Linked DNA regions of Arabidopsis thaliana. The protein of the gene in region 1 interacts with the protein of each later gene in a pairwise test. Each region holds a gene or a part of one and is shown on either strand. Other genes may lie near its edges. The genes, in order: MYB112, AT1G03350, AT1G35490 and AT5G18450.

Region 1 (6,245 bases):
CGTGTGTGAAAGGCCAGTATTCCATTTACAAAATTGTAATGCCAATTCATTCCTTTTTTCACTCCAATTCAATTACTATTGTTCTGCTTTTTTCTTATAAAGAGAATATTGAAAAGATAAGTTTAGAATAAAAATCGACCATGCATTGTTTGATATTTTTGGATTGTTTCCATTTAGTCTATAGACGTGTTCGATGATTAATTTAATATATTCTAACAAATAAAACAATTAATACTTTGATTATAAAATAGGGTTCGGGTGAATCTGTGATCCTCCTTACTCGACGTAGTGGAAAAAAACACTGAGAAATAATTTATTTAAAAGTTTAACTAGAGTAACTTATTTGGGTTCGTCCCCTCTGGACGTATATAATCTCGATAAAGTGTTACATGAGTTGGAGTAACTAATAGTATCTTAATCATGATTAGGAATTGGAGACATCATTCACGTCCTTTTCTTTTAGTTAAACTATTAATGATTATACAAACTAAATTAATATGTGATTTTAAATGAAACTAACGATATTATTGGTTAGCCAAACAAGAAAATATAGGCCCTACAAACTAGAAATTTCCAAAACAATAATAGCACCACAAACTACATAACCGATTTAGAGAATTCAACATGTATGTAACTAAAGTTTTTTTTTTATTTTTAAAAAATGATATTTGAGACGACGAAATTTTACTTGCATATTTTTAAGAGTTGATACCATCTTTAAGTGCTCTAAGCAATATGTCTCATTGTCTCGAGCATGCAAGATTTCATGAACACTTCAACTCTGAGTTTAGATGAGAGGGCCAAATCCAAATTAATAATTTATTTAGAGTAAAATAATTATTTGATGTTCACTTCATATACACATCATGCATCAATCTCTATTTCAACCCATTAGTTAAATAAGTATGTAATGAATTTCTTTGGGATATGTTATCAAATACTCATAATGTTTTTAATAATGCGGTGATATTATAAAACTTAATTGATGATCATATATGGTAGATTATAAGTGATCGTATGGGAGTTATTAAATGAACCAGGAACCACATAAACTTTTTGCTAAACTCATGTTGTTGTTTTTCTCTTCTTTGCTCTTATAGTCTTATCTAAATCATGCTTCTGTGTAACAATATATATGTTTTTGATATTATTAATTAAGCAGTTTTTTTTTTGTTTTGTAAAATCATACATCACAATAAAATTAAACCAATAAAAAAATGGAAAAAAACCCGGAAAACCTTTAATTTTGTTTTGAATGATTAGTTTATGTTTATTATACATTACATTCATTAATAAACCCATGAAATGCCTACTGTATGAGCCACTTGTTGAGCTCGTCAAAACTACACAAAGTTTCAAACGTATCTCCGCCGTTGAACCAATAACCACCATTTGTCATATGATCCAACGTTCCAAATTCCACCTGATCACCACCGTAGAAACTCGATCTCACAGCCTCAGACGACGACGTTGATGACGTGGCGGTGGCGACGCTGGAGTTCTCAGGCGAGTAGTGGTTAGAGGTAAATTGGACACTTTGAGTGGCGGCGATTCTCTCGATGAGACGAGGCATCCAGAGATGTTTGATGGTGTCTTTGAATTGCTTGCTGTTCACGTCACATTTTAGAAGTTTTGCATGCTTTTGAACACGTGTTCTCCAATAATTCTTTATCTCGTTATCTGTTCTTCCCGGTAAATGTTGAGCAATCTTTGACCACCTTCACAATAGAAAAAATATCAAAACTAACTCCATTATTAAAAACACGATTAATTTTATAGAACATCGTAATTAAACTCTCATTCCGTTTTTTATTAGAATCATTTATACATACAAAAAATATATTAAATTTCTAATATACTTTTTGTACGTATATTAATTGTTTTTGTTAAAACCGACTCTTGCTAAAAATATTATTTATAATGAATCGGAGGGTTTAATTATTTATAAGTTCTATTGTAGTACTAGATTAATCAGTTTTTTTAGTGTTACTCTGATAAAAAAAGACGTTGATGTGTACCTTAATTTCAACTATGATACAAGTTTCATATAGTAACCACAATTCAACCAAGAAATTTCAAATACGCATCAAATTGATTTTGTCAATTATCTACTAATACAATATTGAATAACGAGTTATTTATTTCATAGAGACGTTCCAAATTTGCTCTCTTCAACGATATGTGTCCCTTTTTCTATTTTAAGTAATGTATCGACAATATGACTATGTCTATGTCGATATAAATAAAGGTTTCATACCGATTTCCCCAACGAGAATGGAGTTCAAGGATGATAAATTGTTCTTGAAGGGATATGTCTCCACGGCGGATATCCGGCCGGAGATAATTTAGCCACCGCAATCTGCAACTTTTCCCCGTTCTATTCAGTCCTGTCTCAATAGTAAATGATTTCAATATAAATACAATTAGTATAAAAACATGAATTAACTGGAATGTACACTAGTCAATAGTATATGGACACTAGTACAATTTCCCAAATCAATAAAGATAACAATTCCATGAGGCTGTATGGAATTGGATGGTTGGGAAAGGTGTTTGAGTTCCACACTCAAAAGGCTAATATGAAAAGAACTCCAAAGGAAAAAATAAATAAATTTGGACCGACCAAACTGTTTCATACGAAAGTACACTTTTAATGATAATAATGAACTATGAATATGTCAACTTGTTCTTTCTTACTTTACCAATTCTACAGAGGAATTTAAATTATGCCGACATGGAGAAGTCACAGCCATAAGAAAAGTATTCTCATAGTTACGAAAAATCACATTCATATATGTATATCACTCACATATGATGTGATAGAAATTGAATAACATATTGATAAGATGTGGACGAGTTTTTATATCTACTCCATTTAATTTCAGTTAGTTATAAATAAACTCTAAACTAAACTTCACATGATCATATTAAAATCCACAAAATCCAAAACGAATTTCTAATAAGAAAAAAAAAAGTTTCAGTCTAAATGTTTAAAAAACAAAAACGGACTACTTGTTTGACATATAAAGAATCCTTCAATACCAAACTTTAACCATTCAAATCAATGATAGTTTAACAATCACTCTAGAGATATGATATGGGCATATAAGGATTTGTTATGATGACTTCAATTGATCTGAATCGATCGATTTACGCATTACATATTATATATCATGCATGATCACATATTCTGTATATATATATGCAAAAGGCTTAAGAAGTTACCAGCAGAACGAGAGAGGGAGTTCCATCTTCCTTCACCGTGAAGAGAAATGTAACTGACGAGCTTCATGTCTTCTTCCACAGTCCATGGACCTCTCCTTATTTCTATTTCCATCTTTTTCTCGACTTCTTCGACTTCTTCTTTATGATTTATAAGGGTTTTACAGTTTGCGAATTCTGTTCTACTTATATTCATGCTTTGAGATTCTTAGAAACTTGTGAGAAGATTGCTCTGAGAAAGATTTTAATTAATGAGGGAGAGAGTTCTCGGAATGGACATAAAGTGATCGAGTTTTCAGGGTGGGTTTTATAGATTTTTTTTTGTTTTGTTTTGTATATATTATAAATAAATACCAAGCATTTGAAATCGGCATGTTAATAGATAAATTATTACCCGAAGATATTAGTGGAATTTTCGCAAAATAATAATTTCTAAGTAATAGTATAAGAGTTCTTAGTTTCTCCTTAAGCACATGCTATAGTTAAGAGTTGGATAAGCTATCAAGTAAGTAAAAGTAACCGAAGAAGTAATTTAAATTAACATCATTTATTTATCGATATAATTTAGTTGATGCAACAAACCCTTTTTTCTGTAGTATATAATTTTGTTTAGTTTTGATTCAGGTTTCCTTTTATTAAACCAAACTAGAATTTAACCCTCAATATAACACGGGACAATTTTGTTTTCACATAATCTTAACTAAATTAGTGTAATTCTACATATTTAATATTAGTGATGTTAATCAAATAATAAAATGAGAATTTCACCGTATTATAATGTCGGTTAATGATACTTTTAATTTTTTTAATGTCGATTTAAACTCATTTTTCATATACCCAGTCTCAAAATATAACATGTACTGCGTTATTTTAGACTTTTATATATATTCATTTTATTTTAAACTTTATACTGAGTTTAAATATATCAATTATAATATTTCAAAACTTTCAAAGCTTAAAATTTACTATATCCAGTAAAATTAAACAGTTCAATTAAAAACAGAATTAAACCATATACAAACTTTTAAATTTAGATACTTGTTAAGTTAAACTTCTTGTTTATTTAGATTTAGATTTATTTATAACATGACTCTTAATCATTTTCTAAACATTTTAGCCCATGTGAAATTGAGACGTTGAACACACTTTTTTATTATTTAAGTAATATATATGTCTAATTCTAAAATTTTGAATCAGAATATAGGTAGAAAATAGTTTATTATTAACTTTATATGATGATTCAAAACAAATAGAAAACAAAATCAAACAAAGATGATTGCGAATCATTATTTTAATTCTTAACACAATCTTTTAATATGTATTACTAATTTTGGAACATTATATGTATATTTCAAATTTTATAGTTAATGTTAAAAACAATCAATTGATTTGGTTATACGGATAATAAAAATTAATAGTAAAGTTATTTGAATACATGAATATAAGTAATGACATTCTCTGTTAATATTTATCAAAATAAAGGTGTTTTTTAAAGTATACTTCAAAAATAATACTCCCCCTATTCTTTATTAATTGATTTTTAGAGAAACAAAATTGTTTCAAAAAGATTGATTTTTTAGGTTTCTATGCACTATTTATTAGTTATTATTGATGAATTTTAAACTTCAAGACAAATAATTGAATATCATTAGTTTAGAATTATTAAAAAATTAAATCACAAAAATTAAATCAATATGTTTACTTAATCTGTGATTGTTTCTAGAAAATCAATAAAAAGGGACAAAAGGAGTAATTTTTAGTCATGATTTCAATTTGATGCAATTTTGGTTTAATTTATTTTGACTTACGGTTTAGATTCGGTTTGGTTTTGATAAAAAAAGTTAGAACATATATAAATACAGATTGATGAAAGAAACTAGTTAAATTTTTTGAAGTTACTAACTTTTTTGGGTTTTCTTTAGTTTCGGAACTCTTGGTTACTTTTTTTTAATGGTTTTAGCTATAAATTTTAGTTTTTTTAATTAGAAATAGAAAAGGATTACAAAACAAAAAAAAGACTCAAGAGAATGTAACAATATAAAAATGCTTTGATAGCATGAAAGCAAGATGCAGCGAACCTCAAAACTCTAAATCGAGTAAAGCTTAACCTAACCCATGTCTCTAACCATAAACTCATTAAAGCCGAATCAGAGTTCTACAAAATGTAAAATCTCGATGAAACTAGTTTTAGATCAAACCATTTTTGCCAAACTTTACACTAGGTCAAAAGTTTTCCAAAAAAAAAAAACAAAAAAAGTTTTAACACCATTATACGTAGTTAAAAAAAAAAGAGAAAACAAAATTGCATTACCTATGATTGATATGTTATTAGTGGAGTATTTGCCATGGTTTTATCGTTTTTGATAGTTTTCTTTGCCATACCTTTTGCCATGTTATACAGTTTTGACAAAATAATGAAAAGGAAATTTGTTTTTTTTTTCTTTAATCCATAAAACAATATATCGATTTATAATATTTTATTATGTTTAGGTAATATTTTAGAAATAACCAAAACTATGGCCGACAGATTTTCATATTAGAAATCTTCTTTTAAAATTGTGGACTAGATATAACACTTGACAAATCGTCTTTACATGTGTCTTCATCGGTTATCGCTGCTGAGACTCTTAACATTTAAGGTGACATTGTCCTTTGTTGCCAAAGCTTTGAGGGCGGCATCAAAATTGGTAAGTGCAATAATAGAAAGTTCTGAATATTCGGTATAATTTTTTATGAATGAGGATCAGTCGTGCTTTTAACGAGTGATTTGAATTGCATGCTTATGTTTAAGAAATTTCGTGACGCATAGTTGATCAAAAACTTTGTTACACCAAGAAGATTAAGTTTTTTAGTTTTAGGAGTCGACTTAAAGAACATAAAACAGAATGAAGAATTATTACTAACCTTACTTTCTGAAATTTTATAGTAAAAGCATTACTAACAGAACCAATAAATAATTGTTTTTACATAACAACCAAATTTATTTTATGATTTTAATATGAAGATTATGTTTCTTGTTACAT
Region 2 (5,738 bases), about 17 Mb from region 1:
AAGTGGAAAGAAGAATCAAAGAAGTTTACTTCAGAGCTGCCACAGTTATTGCCATGGTTGCACTTAGGTTTGGTTGAATGTTGGAATGCTGATGATTTGGAGTCTAGTTTCTAACTCCATTCTTTGGCTTGCTTAAAGGTTAATTTGTCAATGTTAGGTTGTAGAATAAAGTGAAGATATCACACTGGGAGAAGCTTTTCTTTTAAAACACTAATCTCTCGTTTATTTGATATAAACTCTCAAAGTAGTAGAAATCTCATGAGAGATGAATCTTTAGATACTAGAGAACAGTTGTGTTTTTTCGTTTGAAGAACTTTTAAATCTGCTATAGCGACTTAGCTCATCACTTTTGATACCACACCGGCTCCAACTGTTCTACCTCCTTCCCTTAGAGCAAATCTTTGACCCGTTAAAATCGCAAAATAGAAACAACTTGGATTACTCAAGAAACAACTTGCTTTCTCGCCTTGAAATGGTGATTGGGGTTTAAGTGAGGGTTAATTACTCACGCGAGGGTTTCTCTTGGATCCATCCAGATCCTTTTCTATCCTTTTCTGTGTTCTTCTTACCAGTAAATTCTCAAAGGACGTCGATTGTGGTTTTACACTAATAGTTTCACATCGATTCGTTGCATTATTAAAATCCAATCATAAAATTTCTATTTATACATGCACACATACGGTACATGTTCAATTGAAACATTTTCCCTAACTAGACATGCCAATAAATAATAAGTTGGTTTGGTCCAAAAAATAAAATAATAAGTAAAATTCTACAAAACAAATGGTACAGTTTTGTTAATAACTAGATATTCATCCGGGTACACAACGTATTTATATTTTTGTTAACAAGTTAAAGATTTTATTTTAGTTAATAGTATTTATAAATGATAAACATATTAAGAAGTACACAACGAGCCTATATTTTTCTCAAAAATTTTTATTTTTTTGTTTTAAAGATGATTTATAGATATATGCTATTGCTTTTTTTTATGTATGATACATCTCGAAATGATTTATATAACTAAATTTCTGAAATTTTAAGTTATTTTTTGTATTAATATTGTAAATTTTGTTTAATTTTAGAATTTTACCATAGTATATCATTCCGTATTAATATTGATCCAAACCGTCTCACCATATATCCTAGTTCTGTGAAATTAAACATCATTTTGTCATTTTCTTATAAAGTTCAAATCTATATAATATTTGAAACTTCAAAAAAGTTTTAAATATATTGTATTATATCGTCCCGTATTAATATATTTTTAAATATATATATTATATAAAACTTCATAAGAGTTTTAAAATTATAAATATTAAAACGTTTTAAGAAGTTTTAATTTTAAAAGTTTTACAATTTGTAATATTTAACTTTTTTGGTTCTTCACAAAGGACAGAAATTGAGATTAATTTTGACACAATTAAAGCTCCGAATTCGCAGGGGTCAGTTGATTGATATACTCAAAATAACTGGAGAGAATGACTATCGCAAGATGAATATATTCAAACTTTCCTCAAACCACCTTCTCAAGTAAAATTTAAAAACATATTTTCAAATCAATGTAAAATAGAAACGTTGAAGAGAAAAACAACTGAAGAATGGGGGCAAAGCGCCAGAAACTTGTAAAAACAAGTAAAAGGATTGGCAAAAGTAAGAAAGCACACCACTTTAAAACTAACATTAAGCTTTGGATGATGATGATTCTTCTTCGTCATCTTCATCAATGTCCCAACTTAAATCTTCATCTTCCTCTGCAGCACTCAGACGTTTACGCAGCTCAGCTCTGTTTGGACTACCACCAGACCGACTCGTTTCCTTACCATCTATGCTACTCATATCCTCGATCTCGTCCCATCCCAAATCCTCTTCAGATGGTTGTTGAGTTGATGAAGAAGCAGCCACATCTGGTTTAGCTGAGTCTTGGGATGGAGCAGCCTCATCAGATTTTGGTTTGACAGAATCTTGGATTGGAGCCTCATCAGATGTTGGTTTGACAGAATCTTGGATTGGAGCCTCATCAGACGCAGGAGGAGCAGCATCAACAAATGATTTTTCTTCTGGAACTTCCTCACTATCAGTCTCCTTCTTTTCCTCAGAATCTTTATCTGTCTTCAAACCAACATTGCTCACTTCAGTCACTGAATCTGCACTTGTCACTTCATCTTGCGTGCTCACTTTAGCCACTGAATATGTACTTTCCACTTCATCTTTCACAGTTTCACTCACATCTCCACCACCCATACCATCATTCCCTTCAAGTTTCAACCTTGAAACATCTTTGGTAGCTTCAACAACTTTCTCGCTGCTCTCCTCTTCATCATCAATATCCCAGCTCAATTCTTCTTCATCATCCAGAGAGATGGCTCGTTTCACAAGATTAGCCCTTAAATCCTCAGCTTGCTTGAGCTTGTTAACCCTATAGAAATACCTAAACCAGAAGGTCTCGTGATCAACCATACTCGGAACGACCCTTTTATACACTCCTTTCATATCACCATTTTCCTCCAACAATTTCTCCATCTCCTCAGCTTTTCCATCCAGAGAAAACGCAGATTCCCACTTTTTGTAATCATCTGAATCCTCAGGCTCTTCACAGTAAGTGTTGAGATCTCCTTGAACAGCACGAATCTGAGCATCGAAACGACTATATGGTTTCGAACTGAAGCTATCACGACGACCAAAACTCTGACTACTATTGTTATCAGAAGAATCAGATTCATTACCAGCGGCTAAAATCGCTTCCTTACCTTGAGCAATAATCTCAGCCGTACCTTTTAGCACCGTGTTCCCAAGCTCATCAATCGCATGTCCCACCGTACCAAGCGATCCCTGAGCCACCTCGATCTCTTTCTTCAAACCTGTGCCAAATTCTTCGAGATCTCGTCGGTAGGTTTCAATCACGGATTCGGATCTGGTGGCTAGAGTTTTCATCAGACCACCGAAGCTCCATCCACCGTCGTCGTTAGATTCAGATTGCTCTGGATGTTCTTGCTCTGGATGTTCATGCTCTTCGCTGTGTTTCGGTGAATCGGATTCGGATTCGGTTTCTGGAGGATCTAGGTCTTCCGTGAAGACGGATTTGAAGAAATTCATAGCGTAAAGCTCAGATCTTACCAATCGGTACTCTCAGATAATTTGTTTGATCCGTGAAAGAATCAATTTGAAGAGTGAAGGATTCGAATTAGCGTCAGAAATAGGAAGATCACAAAAGACTTGAAGCTTGTCGCTGCAGAGACGTCTAATTTTTTTCCCATTTTTTTAATGAAGATAAATAATACTTTATTTGGCGTCAATTATCAGATTAATGGGCCAGAAGTTTTATAAATGGGCCAGAAGTTGGATATGTTAGTCCAACAAATAACACAAAACCCTAGAATTCATTCAAGGGAACTAACGTCAAGGTTTTTGCTCTTCTTCTCTCCCAAGTCCCAAACTCGTTTTGCATCGCCATTGTTGTGTTGCTGGAGCTAAATAGAGAGAAAGAGAGAGAGTGTCTGTGATGGTGATGAGAAAGCTACAGTTACCGTTGAGCCAGACGCAGAAGGTTAGGTTTGAGAGAGCAATCGAGCGGCTTCAATCACTGTCGTCGTCGGCTAACTCTGACGCTTCTGTTATCGTCACCGACTCTATTCCCGTCAACCATGACGATGCCTTCCTCAAGTAATTTCATCTCATTCTCCCTTCTGGATTGAAATTTTTGTCAAATTGCGTTTTCACGATTGGTTTTTTCATTAAAGGGGACATGGAACTTCCGAGGTCGATGGTGAGTTGCTCGCGACGGTCTGTGGAGTAGTGGAGCGTGTGGATAAGCTTGTCTATGTACGCACCTTGCGAGCCAGGTCTGTGATTGATCTTTGAATTTGTTTAGTTTCCCAGAAAATGTGAATAGAATGGACTCTCTACTCTGAGATTAAGTAGAACTGATGGTTTTGATGATCTACGTTTTAGGTACAAGCCTGAAGTTGGGGATATTGTGGTAGGCCGTGTCATTGAGGTAGATTTTTGTTTTGGTGTTTGGATTTTTGAAATCGGATTGAGTGAGTAACATAAAGGTTTCAATCACATTGCACAGTTACTGGATTGATCTTTACTTATTCAGGTTGCTCAAAAACGTTGGAGAGTGGAGCTCAACTTCAATCAGGATGGAGTACTGATGCTTTCTTCCATGAACATGCCTGATGGTATTCAGGTACAGTTTGATTCTTGATATTTTGCCATTTGGATGATTGCTTTTGGCTTCAATGATATAAGTTTATTGTTGTTGCCAGAGGCGAAGAACCTCTGTGGATGAACTCAATATGCGGAATATCTTTGTAGAGCATGATGTCGTATGTGTAAGTCCTGTGATTAGTAATGTTCCAATCTTTACATATCTTAACAGTTACGTCAACCTGACTAAAAGGGTTCCCTCTTTGGTTTGTTCAAACTCTTAGGCTGAAGTACGCAACTTTCAGCATGATGGTAGCTTGCAGTTACAAGCCAGAAGTCAGAAGTATGGCAAGGTTGGTTCTCATTTGGTCACATGCTCATGTAGTTATACCTTTCGCTAGTCTCTTCCTCTGAACATTGATTAATCCATGAATCGCTACAGCTCGAGAAGGGACAACTTCTGAAGGTCGATCCTTACTTGGTTAAGAGAAGCAAACATCACTTTCATTACGTAGAAAGTCTTGGGATTGATTTGATTATTGGCTGCAATGGTTTCATATGGGTTGGAGAACATGTCGAAGTGAGAGATCCTATGGCAATAGATGATCAGAAAGATGAGGAAATGATCTCATCCTCCTCCACAGGAAAAGAGCAAAGCCATATTCCACTCGAGACTCGACAAACCATATGCAGAATCGGGAATGCGATACGTGTCTTGTCTAATCTAGGCTTCACCGTGACACTAGAAGTAATCATGGAGACTGTTAACCTCAGTAACTCAAAGAATATTGACATACATGATATGCTTGGATCAGAGTTTCACGTTGTGGTAGCAGAGAATGAAGCTGAAAGAAGACGTACAAAGAGGAAAAAGTGAAAACTACCCCTTTTTGTCACTGATGTATCAGAGACTTGTAACGTGTATTAGATCATTCGGTCTTGTTTGTTACTCAGCTTCTATTGAAAGTTCGAATTTTAATCTGATTGAGATATGTAGTATGATGGATGTGTTTGATACTATTAACTGTACATCAGATTAGATTAGTCGAGTTATGTCTTTTGGAGACGGCTTTCTTCTTTCATTCATGAATTTATCGGTTTCGACTTTTGTAGCTGAAATTCGTTTTGTGAAAGGATCTACAGTTGCAGAAACAACATAGAAAAGATTCGCTGCCCTTTTTAGCTCGGAGAAGGGATAATTGGGAAATGACTAAAATACCCTCATGAGAATCCAAGTAATAACAGCGATTACCAAACCTCTTCTCTCATTCACGAAACAGTGTTCTACGGCCAATTTCTCTCGCTCGCTCCACACTCCCAAAACAATATTCTTCTTCTTCGATTTCTCACTCTCTGTTTGTCGCTACCGATCTTATTTCCCGCTATTTTTGTTCCGGCGCCGTTCTCCTTAAAGTCGCTATTGTCTTCGTTGAAGGTCAGTTTACGGCCTTTTTTAAATCCATTTTGGTGTATTCGTGATTGTTTGTGGGTTGAATGATCGTGCGATTATTTGGGGTTTTTAATTAATTTCGATTCAGTAACGGTTCTGAATTGCATTGCGATTAAGCACTTAATCAGAAAGTAGT
Region 3 (5,904 bases), 4.6 Mb from region 1:
TCCACATTTTTCGTTTTAAGTTTGCAATTGTACAAAATAATTATCACTCCCTAAAACTTTATTTTTTGATTTTTATTAAATTTTGTTCTTTTTCTGACAAAAATAAATTGTACATCTATTAATCTAATATTGCTCATTCAAATAATATTAACAAAATGCTCAAATTTAGGCTATTAAAATAAAAAAAGTTAGTCAAAAGCACAAGTATATCAATCCCAAATTATGATTAAACTAAATATTTATTTATAATAATTTTTACCAAAACAATAACATTATATATATTAAAAAATTTGAAGTACCTTTTTAAAGTACTTTTGTGTTAGTAAAGTAACAATTTAGAAAGAATATCATCACATTAAAGACAAAGACAATTCTTATTTTTTAAATATTATTATTGATATATCTTAAATTTTTAAACATTATTAATATTTAAACTTAAAAAAAAATAAAACATCATGAGACGAGAAATATATTTTAACTTTATAAAATATTATTAATATTTAAACTTATAAAAAATTTAAAATATCATGAGATGAGAAATATAGCGGAATGAGTTTGAATTGATATGAAATATAGCGGGACGGGTTTGGATTCATATAACACAGATTAAATATTTATTTTATTATTTTATCATCACTAAATTTTTTAGTTACAACATTAATATAAAATTATATAACTTTAATACTAAATTAAAACCGTAAAATTTAATATTATTAAATATGAATAAAACATTTGCCCCGTGGTATACCACGGGTTAAATTCTAGTTAGAGTTATATATTCGGAGATTATTTAGATTTGAGAATTTTTCCTAATCTAATAGAAAAAATATATGAACAAATTGGTTAATTTTTGTAACTTAGGGTTAGAAACTAAACAAAATAACAAATGATACTGCAAATCAGTTATTGAAAGTCTAAATAATACGCAATACAATCTTTCTTAATCGTTGTCAAATTTGTAAAGTTTGTATATATAGTATCTCAACTTGAAGTTCTCCCGACGATGCTGAAAGACCATTTAAAAATAAATATATATATATATATATATAATGTATGTAGCCATAAAATCTTTTAAAAGATATGGATGAGAATTATATTTCATATCAGTTTTTTTACTTACTATGATTAATATGCATTTTTTGAGATGGAGGGTAAAATTAAAATACAATGGCGGCTTAAAGGATTTTTTTTTTTACTGTTGCATAAACCCAACAAATTACTATGTTTTCGTAAATTCATTTTTTAAATATTAATCTTAATTTTCATATTATCTTGACTGGTGTATAAAATAGTATACAGAATATTTATATATATATATATATATATATATATATTTTTTTTTTCCTTTTATTACTAGAATCGGTCACAACTTGTATATATATAGATAAAGGAAATTGTCAAAAAAATTACTTATTCATATATATAATAGATGAAATAAGAAGGATTACAAGTTATTACATAACATGAAGTTTCTTGACAAGAGATTCTCTACCATGCCATAAATAGAGAGAAATGCAATAGAGGAGGATATGGGCAACCACATTTTGATTTACATAACGATGCTTTTTTAGGTTTTCATTCAAGGCTACAAACATCAAGTTCACCTATGTTGTATGGACATTAAGGTAGAGCAAGAGGAGCTCAGCTTAATCTGAACAATGTATCCATATTTCCTAAATCATATTGCCAAGGCTGCAAATTGGGCATCGGGTTCTTGTGTAACAGGTGGTTGATATTTGTTGTATCGATTTTGTATTGCTTGGACTTGTTTTTGGTTTTGCTGTGGTTGTTGTTGGTGTCGTCGAAACTGTAGGTTTCCTATCTCTCTCTCAAGCAATTGCTGCTCCACTGTATTAACCAACCAAAATCAAAATTTTACAAGAGAACAAAATAAATGCATTTTGATCCATTTTAGTAGTGATATGAAAGGTTAAATACCATGTTTAAGCTTTTGGATTTCTGCTAAACTATCCATACGTTGTTTTAAAGCTCTATTTTCCATGCTAAGCATGAGTAACTGCTGATCCAAGTAGTGAATGGCAGATGACATTTCACATCCTTCAACCTATTGAAGAAAATCCAACATGTATAATATAACATTAGGAATCTTTTCATATTATTAATGAAATTAAAGAACTTCGAGAAATACACGAGCCTTTAGAATCTTACTTGTAGCACTTGGATGGTCCTTTCAAGGTCTGATATGTACTCAAGCCTTCTCAAACGCGCTCGATGAGCATTTTGACTGCATTTTAATAATTTTCGATAAAATTGTATATTATTAAACCGCATCAGAAATATGTTTATCAACCTATATTAGGAATGTGGTCTAACTTATCCCAACAGTTAGCTCAAGAGTTAAGGATTGCCAGATAATGCCTAAAGATCTTAATCTCAATCGATGTGGGACATTTTAATAACCTATTATAAGTACACATGACAAAGATAAGACTACTTACTGTTTGATACGTTTTGAGTCAGTCTTTGATCTAGGACCATCTGGTTTTGTAGAAGTTCCTTCTTTCATTTTGCTTACATGTTTCTCAATGGGTTTCGACGACATATTTAAAGCTCCGCATGACATATTTCTTTGGATATTAGTTCCATTTGCTGTAGAGAAATCCCATCCTAATTTATTGTGTTGTTCATAAGAGTTGGACTGCCACAAATCATAGTTCTGGAACTGCCAAGACGAACCAGCAACATGATTTTCCTTCGAAGGCATTAAAGCTGAGTTCAAGTAAGCAGCTGTGTCACTAGCTGAACGTCTATGACCTTTGTTAATCTTAGGTGATGCTGGCTCACTTAGGAGCTCATCGAGCCAAGCTGGTTGGTCTTCTGTGAAAAGATCATCTAAAGAAGCACTATGGTGGTGCATATTATTAGGAGGAGAAATGTTATTTTCCATGTTTTTTTGGGGAACTCGTGATTGTGATCTTCCAATGAATCCGAAATTTCCCGGGTTTGACAACCTCCTTAAATTTTCCATTCTTCAAAACCTATAAGGTATGAGCAAAACATGTATAAGAAAACCATTATCATGTAATGACAAGAATTGAAGATACAGTTTCTTTAACATGCAAAGAACATACCTAAGAAGACGTACGAGATTAGGAGACGTGTGATTGTTAGACCTTCCACGGGGAGGAAAATGGCATAAGCTCCTCCCGTGTGGTTGGTTTCGATCACCTCTTCTCCTTAGAATGCAAAAAAAAAAAAAAACAAGAAACAATCTCTAGATCACTAAATAGAGGAAGATACCATATTGAAACAATCCATGTTGATGATTTACATTGCGTGGTTTTCGTGAAAACAACAATTCTTGTCCTTATGCTTTATTTGGTCTATTATTTTCTCAGTTATTTTTGCTTTTTCACTTTCCCATAATAGACTCCACCATTGGTTTATTCAGACTGGGTTTATTGGTACACAATACTACAAAAGCTTCGAGGAATTCTTTCATTTTTTATTCATCGAATTTGTATAGTAAGCTCCGTAATATTTTTATGTGATTTATCTACACGCTTCTAATAGATGCAAAATCAAAATATTACTCTCACTATCATATGAGATTGACAATGTAATGACGTGGGACAATTTCTTTCTTTTTTTAGTTAATAATCTTTTCTATTTACATAATTATAAAATTCTAATGTTATTATGAACTTATAAAGTACTAGATATACAATATATATATATATATATATATATATATATATATTTAAGAGAACTATAAAAAAATAAGGAGAAACTTTGTTAAATATTAAGAAATTGATATGTTCAAATGTTTAATAATTTGCACTTTAAACTCTAAAGCTGAAATTTAGTACGAAATGTTATCAGCTTTAATTTGATAAATAATTATAAGTGATAGTTTGCACTTTGTAGATTCTATACCATCTCTATACTATTATTTGAGAAATGTTGTTAGCAAAATAACTAGATGTTACTAGATTTTAATCCGCGGTATACCGCGGGACGATTTATTTTTTAAAAGTAATATATATTAAAACTTGCAAATTTTATTTTATAAAATATTTATATTTTACAATTTATAATTGTTATTAACTAACGCTATACCACGAATCCATGAGACAATTGTTAAAAAACTGAAGTTTTAACCCCTATTAAAACAGCATATTAATAATATTTTAAAATTTTATAAATATTAATTCAAATACATCCGCCATATAACTCAATTCTAAAATAAAACCCGTTCTGTAATTTCTTTACCCGTCCTGTGATTTTTTTTTAAGTAGTAATTTTTAAAATTTAAGAATTATTTTTTATATAAAAGTTTTGCAAATTGTATCATTTTCTAATACATTTATATTTTATAGTTTAATTTTATATATAGTAACATTATACATACCACATAACATTTTTTGTTTTATATAATCTTTTCTAAATTAGGATGATTTGATATGTTTAATATTAGTGGTCTTAGAAAATAATAAATTAAAGATTTAACCCGTATTGAAACGGTGGATTAATTATATTTTATTTTTTTTATTAATGTTGATTCAAAAACCCGTCTCTCTAAATCTGTCTTGCCAAAAAGCCATTTATTTATTAATATTATTTTTATTAATGATATGACTCTGAATTATAATCTAAACATTTTAGTTAATAACATAGGAGTGCACCATATTTATTTAATAGGGGAATGTACCATATGAGCCGAACGCACTTTTATCCAAATCCACCAAAAAAGTCTTGCAAAAATACTATAGAGATAAGAAACGATTGTCGGTTTTGATAGGTATAAGATTAGCAAATATATTTGTTAGCTTAAATTAGTTAAAGAATACAAATTGAAAAGGTATATTACACTTTATTCGAATATAGTATCAAAACTTATATAACACAGAGATTTGTTATTTTTTAATTGTTGAATATTTTTTTTTGTGCTAATTTTTATGTGATTAAGATTTAATTGATTTCGTAAATAAAATATTAAATTGTTTACGAACTTATTTGTTTATAATTTGGTAATAGATAGATATTTGAATATTCAGTATATTTTGCTTCAGTTTAGGAAATCTTTGATGACCCATCTCTAGATCCAATAAGCCCTATAATCTAGATATTAACCTGCAGTATACCGCAAGTAGCCTTATATTTTAGTTAAACTAAAAACTTTTATTGTAAAGATGATTTAAAAATATATGATATTATTTTATTTGATTTTAAATGTATAGTAAACTGTGAGTTGTATATGTTTTGTTGATATTATCTATATTGTTTAGTGTTTAAGATTATACACTTGTAGTTTGATTGTTAATTTAAGAGTTTGACATGTAGTATACCATCTTGTATTAATATCGATCTAAACCCGTTAATTCTAGGATTTTCCAGCTTGTATTAAAAATTGAATCACATCTAATATGTTATTAATTATTGTAGTATATAAGATTATAAATTTTCAATATAATATGTATGAAATTGAATAGAAATAATTCAAATTATGACCAGTTACTCAGTAGAAAGTTTTCTTAAATCTATTTTTCATCCGTTATAATTTTTTTCATGTATTGAACAGTTTATATTCGTTTTTAAAAATTCAAATTATGACATATGCGAAAAAACTCAAATTATTTTTTTATAATGATGATATTATTTTTCGGCAAAAATAGAATCATATAAAGATGAGAAGTGAACTATAATAATTAATAAAAAATTAATATGATAATTTAGATATCAAATCTAATTTGTTGATTTTAATTGGTTACTTTTTTGGAAATTAATAATGCATTTCATTTTTCTAATTAAATTAAATTAATTAAAATTTAGATATCAAATCTTATATGTTGATTTTGATTGGTTATTATTTTTGGAAATTAATAATGTATTCCGTTTTTATGTTAAATTTAATTAATTAAATTAGTATTTGACTTTTTAATC
Region 4 (4,817 bases), on another chromosome or scaffold:
AGAAAAGGTAGTGTTAGGTGTCACTGAATTTCTTTTCGTTCCTAAGGCATTTTGACTCCCTAAATTTTCACGTTCATGAAGCAGTGTGATCCTTATAAGTCGTAGTATTGAATGGGATTTAATCTGGATTACATCTTTTGTTATCATGTCAGCCAATCTCTAATATTTTTTTTTGATGTTGTTTTTCTCCAAGAGAAGATCATATGCTTTGATGTATACACCAAGAGAAGTTCAGCAATGGCGTGAAGCTCGACGTAAGAATTATCCAACGAAATTCCTTGTTGAAAAGGTTAGAGTCGCTCTCCCTCTCCCACCAGCTTTAATTTGTTGAAATTCACTCCTTTGGTGAAAATTTTGAATGCTAAATTACCTGTTTGCAGAAAGTAAAGAAAAATGTTTCAGCCAGCATCCTTGATGAGGAAGCAAAAATGCGTCGTCAGGTACCCTTTATTTTGGTCTAGACACTCTGCATTAATAGAAATATAGGATCAATTTGAGAAATTCCACTTAAACTATTTTAGGAAAAGGTGAATAGGAGCTATAGCTGATCTGCTATGGTGTATAAATATGAATACTAAAATTATAAGTTAGTAAATCTTCATGAAGCTCAAGTCACACCTTTAAGATCAGCTGGCCAATAATGAAACTGAAATCTCAGTAGTTTATGGTTTTTGTTTTGTTTTCAAGTTCAGGCCTAACAAAATACACCTTCAAGTTAAATATCCAGAAGGTTATGATGGTGAAAAAAGCATCTATGCTCATATATGTAACGCGTAATGAAAAGTTATTGGATTCATGGTTTTTCTATTGGCATTGCAGCAACTCCGGGAAGTTTTAGCAAAGCAGGCTGAGTTAGGTGTTGAAGTTGCAGAAGTTCCTTCGCATTATTTATCCAATAATGATGAACAAGTTAATGGAGATAGAGGAAACAACAATGGGCGAAAGGGACGATTCCAGAATAATAGACGTAATAAGAGAAGACATGACAGAAAAGATAAGTTTGATAATAAGAAACCAAGATTGGAAGACAAAAAATCGTCTCAAGATTCTTCCATAACGACTAGAAAACCTACATTGCTTGAGAAGCTCCTAAGCGCAGACATAAAGAGAGACAAAAGCCAGTTATTACAGGTCTTCCGCTTCATGGTAATGAATTCATTGTTGAAGGAGTTTCCAGAGCAACCTCTGAAGTTACCTTTGATTACAGTAAAAGAAACTGGCTGTGAAGATGCTATGGAAGATCCCTCAATTGAAGGTTTATGTGATGGCCTTAGTGATGGCGATGATGTGGATGGCGATGATAGCTCATGTGATGAAGATGTTTGATGTTTAAATTTGTAAGACCGGACACATGAGCAGTATAAGGATTTGTGATATTAATCTATATGTGTTTTCGTTTTGAAGATATGTCCGCAGGAAACAGTAAGATAAATAATCTGATACAAGGAACATGAGAGTAAAAATAGTGTCACATTCGAAACTTGCTTCATCTCTATTAATTTGTTTTTACAAAACGTGTAAGAAAATTCACATTATGCCCAAACCTATTTACACACATAAGCACTACATGCAAGGAGAAAACAAAAAATCCCACGATTGATGTATAACAAATAAACAATCCTAAGTCAAATATAAGAAATATGTATGATAAATAATAGTAATAAATAAAAACTCTCAGAACCAATTCCATGGATGTTGAAACTCTTCACAACACCAATTCTTGAAATCTCCATTTTTGCCAATCAACAAACCTAAATCATCAATCTCCAAAAGATCATCCATTTCCAAATATCCTGTTCGCTCTTCCAACTCCGGCCTATGCATCCTCTCTCCGCCGCAACTAGGAACCAACATACTCTCCTTGTTGTCCGACGATCCACACGACGATGACACGTCATGTTCCGTCTTCTTTTCTTGCCCCACAAGAAACCTAGACCAAGCTCCATTGTATAATCCATAATTCTGACTCATCAAATTCTTTGGTTTCAAATTGGTCGAAAACGTTAACGTAGAGCCACCACCGCCTTCACCGCCATAACTAGTCGTAGCATTAACGGTCTCTTGATCTTGTGAATCACTTTGTTTAGGTAATAACCAACAAAGATTCGAACCACTTGAAGACGAACATCGATTATGACTATGATCATCATCTTCTTGTAGAAAACTCGATCTCTCTGAGCAAGAACCTCGTGAACAACTTGCCTGGCCGAGACCAAGGTCCAACCCATGAACCATATCGAGCTTCTTATTATAAGCCCAAGAACCCGACCCGTGGCCAGAAAAAGACAAGTTTCTGTTCACTACTACTTGTTGTTGTTGTTGTGGGTGCACCAAGTTGAGTTTAGCCTCGTGTCCATAGAGTTTCTTAGCGGCTTCATCGTAAGCCATGGCGGCCTCGACCGAGGTATTAAACGTGCCGAGCCAGAGACGAGTCCCACGGTTAGGCTCACGGATCTCAGCCACCCATTTACCCCAAGTCCGTTGCCTAACTCCACGGAAAGTACACGTGGCGTTCTCTGGACCGCCTTTACCTTTCATGCAACCTTTTCTAGATCTCCCCATGTTTCGTTTCTTGGCCGGAGGTTGCTCTTCTTCCATGGTGTTTCTTTGAGAGTCTCAAATTAAATCTGGTTTAGTGAATGAAAAATTGAAGTGTGCGTGTGTATATATATACAGGACACGTCAGGAGTATACGTATTCTTACGTGGCAAATGTAAATATGAGTGTGTACGTGTGTTCTGTGTGTATACACTAAGGTAAAGGATCTCTCGTTTTGTTTATTTGATTTAATGTCTGTGTTACACGAAAGTGACCCCCGACCACTGTCTTGATGATGACTCACGTGTTTGTGTTTCTCTCTAAGCCCCTCTCCTTAAAAAGTGAAAATTAAGGAGATACTATGTTATATATCCAATGTATTTTTTGATTTTTTTGTTTATTTAAAACATATAGAGTAGAAACTTTATAAATTAATAATGTTGGGACCAATAAAATTTTATTAATTTATAGTAATATTAATTTATCTTATAAATTAATATTTATAATTTATTATATAAATATTAAATATTAATTTATAGAAATATTTACGTAAAATACAATACTATAATTTTTAAAAAATGTCTGTTAATTTAATTTTCTATATGATTTGTTGTTTGCATATATTATTATGTCAGATTTTTATTTTTCCTTGACTTCTTTTATTTATTTTTCGGTAAGATATTGTATCTGTATATCTACGATATTAACGTGAACGTAAACACAAACATGAAACTTAATCCAATTTCTCTTTACACAAATCTTACCAATGCTTTCTCAAATAAAAGATTTTACAAAATCAATTATGACGAATCAAATATGCAAATAGTTATGTGAGTAAAACATAAATCATACGAGTTGTATTTTAAAAAGAGTTGTAATTATAATTTGAACAAAAATTTCATATAAAAATTAGTCTTAAAATATATTCTTAAGATCTATAATTATTAATTTATAATATTATTGAGACTATAATTTTACATAGAAATTTCAAAAAAAAATATTATCTTATTATCTTATCGATTTTGGTTAATTTTTACATTGGTCCGACTTGGGACTAACAAAATTTATTAATTTATCGTGTTTATTAATTTATCAATTATTAATTTATAGAGATTGTACGGTAATTCCCTAATATATAAATACACATGCATAATTAAAAAAATTATAATTTTAAAAGATATAAAATAAACTAATATATGTGGAAGATTTTCAGAACGGTAATAAAAATTCATAAACTTTTCATCATTAATTTTTCCTAATGCAAAATATAAAAATGGATAATCTGACACAAAAAATTTATATTCTACTGTTTCATGATATGTAAATAATATCTTTTAAAATTAGTTTTTGTGAGTTTTTAAACAAAAACTGATTAAAAAAAGATTAATATATTTAGTGAATGTTAGATTTAACAATAATTAATTGATTTATTATTTTCTCTTTTTTTTTTTTTTTTTTGAAACATCCGAAAACTGTTTTTCTTAACAAATTTACAACACAAACCTGAATAAAACCACACTCCAAATAGCTCGAGTCATATCCATATGTAATACTTACAGATTTTGTATACGATTCTTAGGTTTTCGTTTTCGAGGTTTTACTTAGATTATAAGTTTCACCGTTTAGTTTTTGGATAGGAGTAATAATATAAGATAAACAACAAAATAAATGCGAAGTATATAAGTCTACGTACATGCGAAAATGGAATATGTCATGTTCATATGCCAGGTGTCAAGATCGAGGGTGGCCTGGCAAACGACTCGGAACACATGGCTCTACCATTGATTAGGTGCTTCGGCACGAAGTATCTGTTTTTACACCACTACTTATTAAATCCTCTGTTTTTGTTTCAATCATACATGGGATTATCTATTTCCCTAGTTGGAAAAAAACTTCGAATTTCTTAATATTCTTAACAATTTTCGCTGAAAAAAAACTTACGTGAATCAATGTATGTTGATCACACAGTGTAATTACACTGTACACATAATTAACTATACTAATCAACATTCGATCATTGCTTTTTGGAGAAAATGTCCTCAATCCGTTCTACATAAACAAATTAAAGTAGTTAACTAATAACTAAAAAATGTTTTGCACTTTACGGTCAATAATAATTGAAGTTCTTAAACTGAAAATTAGTTTATTTCCATTGCACAAGATGTCAAATAAAGAGAGTTTACAAAATTAGGTGTTGACGATGTAAAGAGCATAGAGCAAAAACTTTCGTGAAAATGAATCTAACAATAGTTATATATATATAAAAAATCAATCAATCA

What was found.
Region 2: the proteins of MYB112 (region 1) and AT1G03350 interact in a two-hybrid assay, tested with the Arabidopsis thaliana proteins (one large-scale study listed by BioGRID).
Region 3: the proteins of MYB112 (region 1) and AT1G35490 interact in a two-hybrid assay, tested with the Arabidopsis thaliana proteins (one large-scale study listed by BioGRID).
Region 4: the proteins of MYB112 (region 1) and AT5G18450 interact in a two-hybrid assay, tested with the Arabidopsis thaliana proteins (one large-scale study listed by BioGRID).

The regions. Positions count from the first base shown.
Region 1 is NC_003070.9:17,702,960-17,709,204, forward strand, and holds MYB112 (myb domain protein 112), read right to left. Parts: upstream 3,502-6,245; 5' UTR 3,419-3,501; coding exon 3,226-3,418; intron 2,388-3,225; coding exon 2,258-2,387; intron 1,719-2,257; coding exon 1,310-1,718; 3' UTR 1,173-1,309; downstream 1-1,172.
Region 2 is NC_003070.9:821,151-826,888, forward strand, and holds AT1G03350 (BSD domain-containing protein), read right to left. Parts: upstream 3,261-5,738; 5' UTR 3,097-3,260; coding exon 1,684-3,096; 3' UTR 1,432-1,683; downstream 1-1,431. Other genes in the region: AT1G03340 (uncharacterized protein), read left to right, coding at 1-77; RRP4 (ribosomal RNA processing 4), read left to right, coding at 3,503-3,663, 3,741-3,842, 3,952-3,997, 4,103-4,192, 4,272-4,337, 4,437-4,505, 4,595-5,029.
Region 3 is NC_003070.9:13,058,941-13,064,844, reverse strand, and holds AT1G35490 (bZIP family transcription factor), read right to left. Parts: upstream 3,297-5,904; 5' UTR 3,093-3,296; intron 3,000-3,092; 5' UTR 2,990-2,999; coding exon 2,460-2,989; intron 2,246-2,459; coding exon 2,170-2,245; intron 2,066-2,169; coding exon 1,939-2,065; intron 1,849-1,938; coding exon 1,679-1,848; 3' UTR 1,390-1,678; downstream 1-1,389.
Region 4 is NC_003076.8:6,114,423-6,119,239, forward strand, and holds AT5G18450 (Integrase-type DNA-binding superfamily protein), read right to left. Parts: upstream 2,620-4,817; 5' UTR 2,599-2,619; coding exon 1,675-2,598; 3' UTR 1,602-1,674; downstream 1-1,601. Other genes in the region: NUFIP (GATA zinc finger protein), read left to right, coding at 1-7, 199-289, 381-440, 820-1,326. UniProt on the Arabidopsis thaliana protein: Transcriptional activator that binds specifically to the DNA sequence 5'-[AG]CCGAC-3'.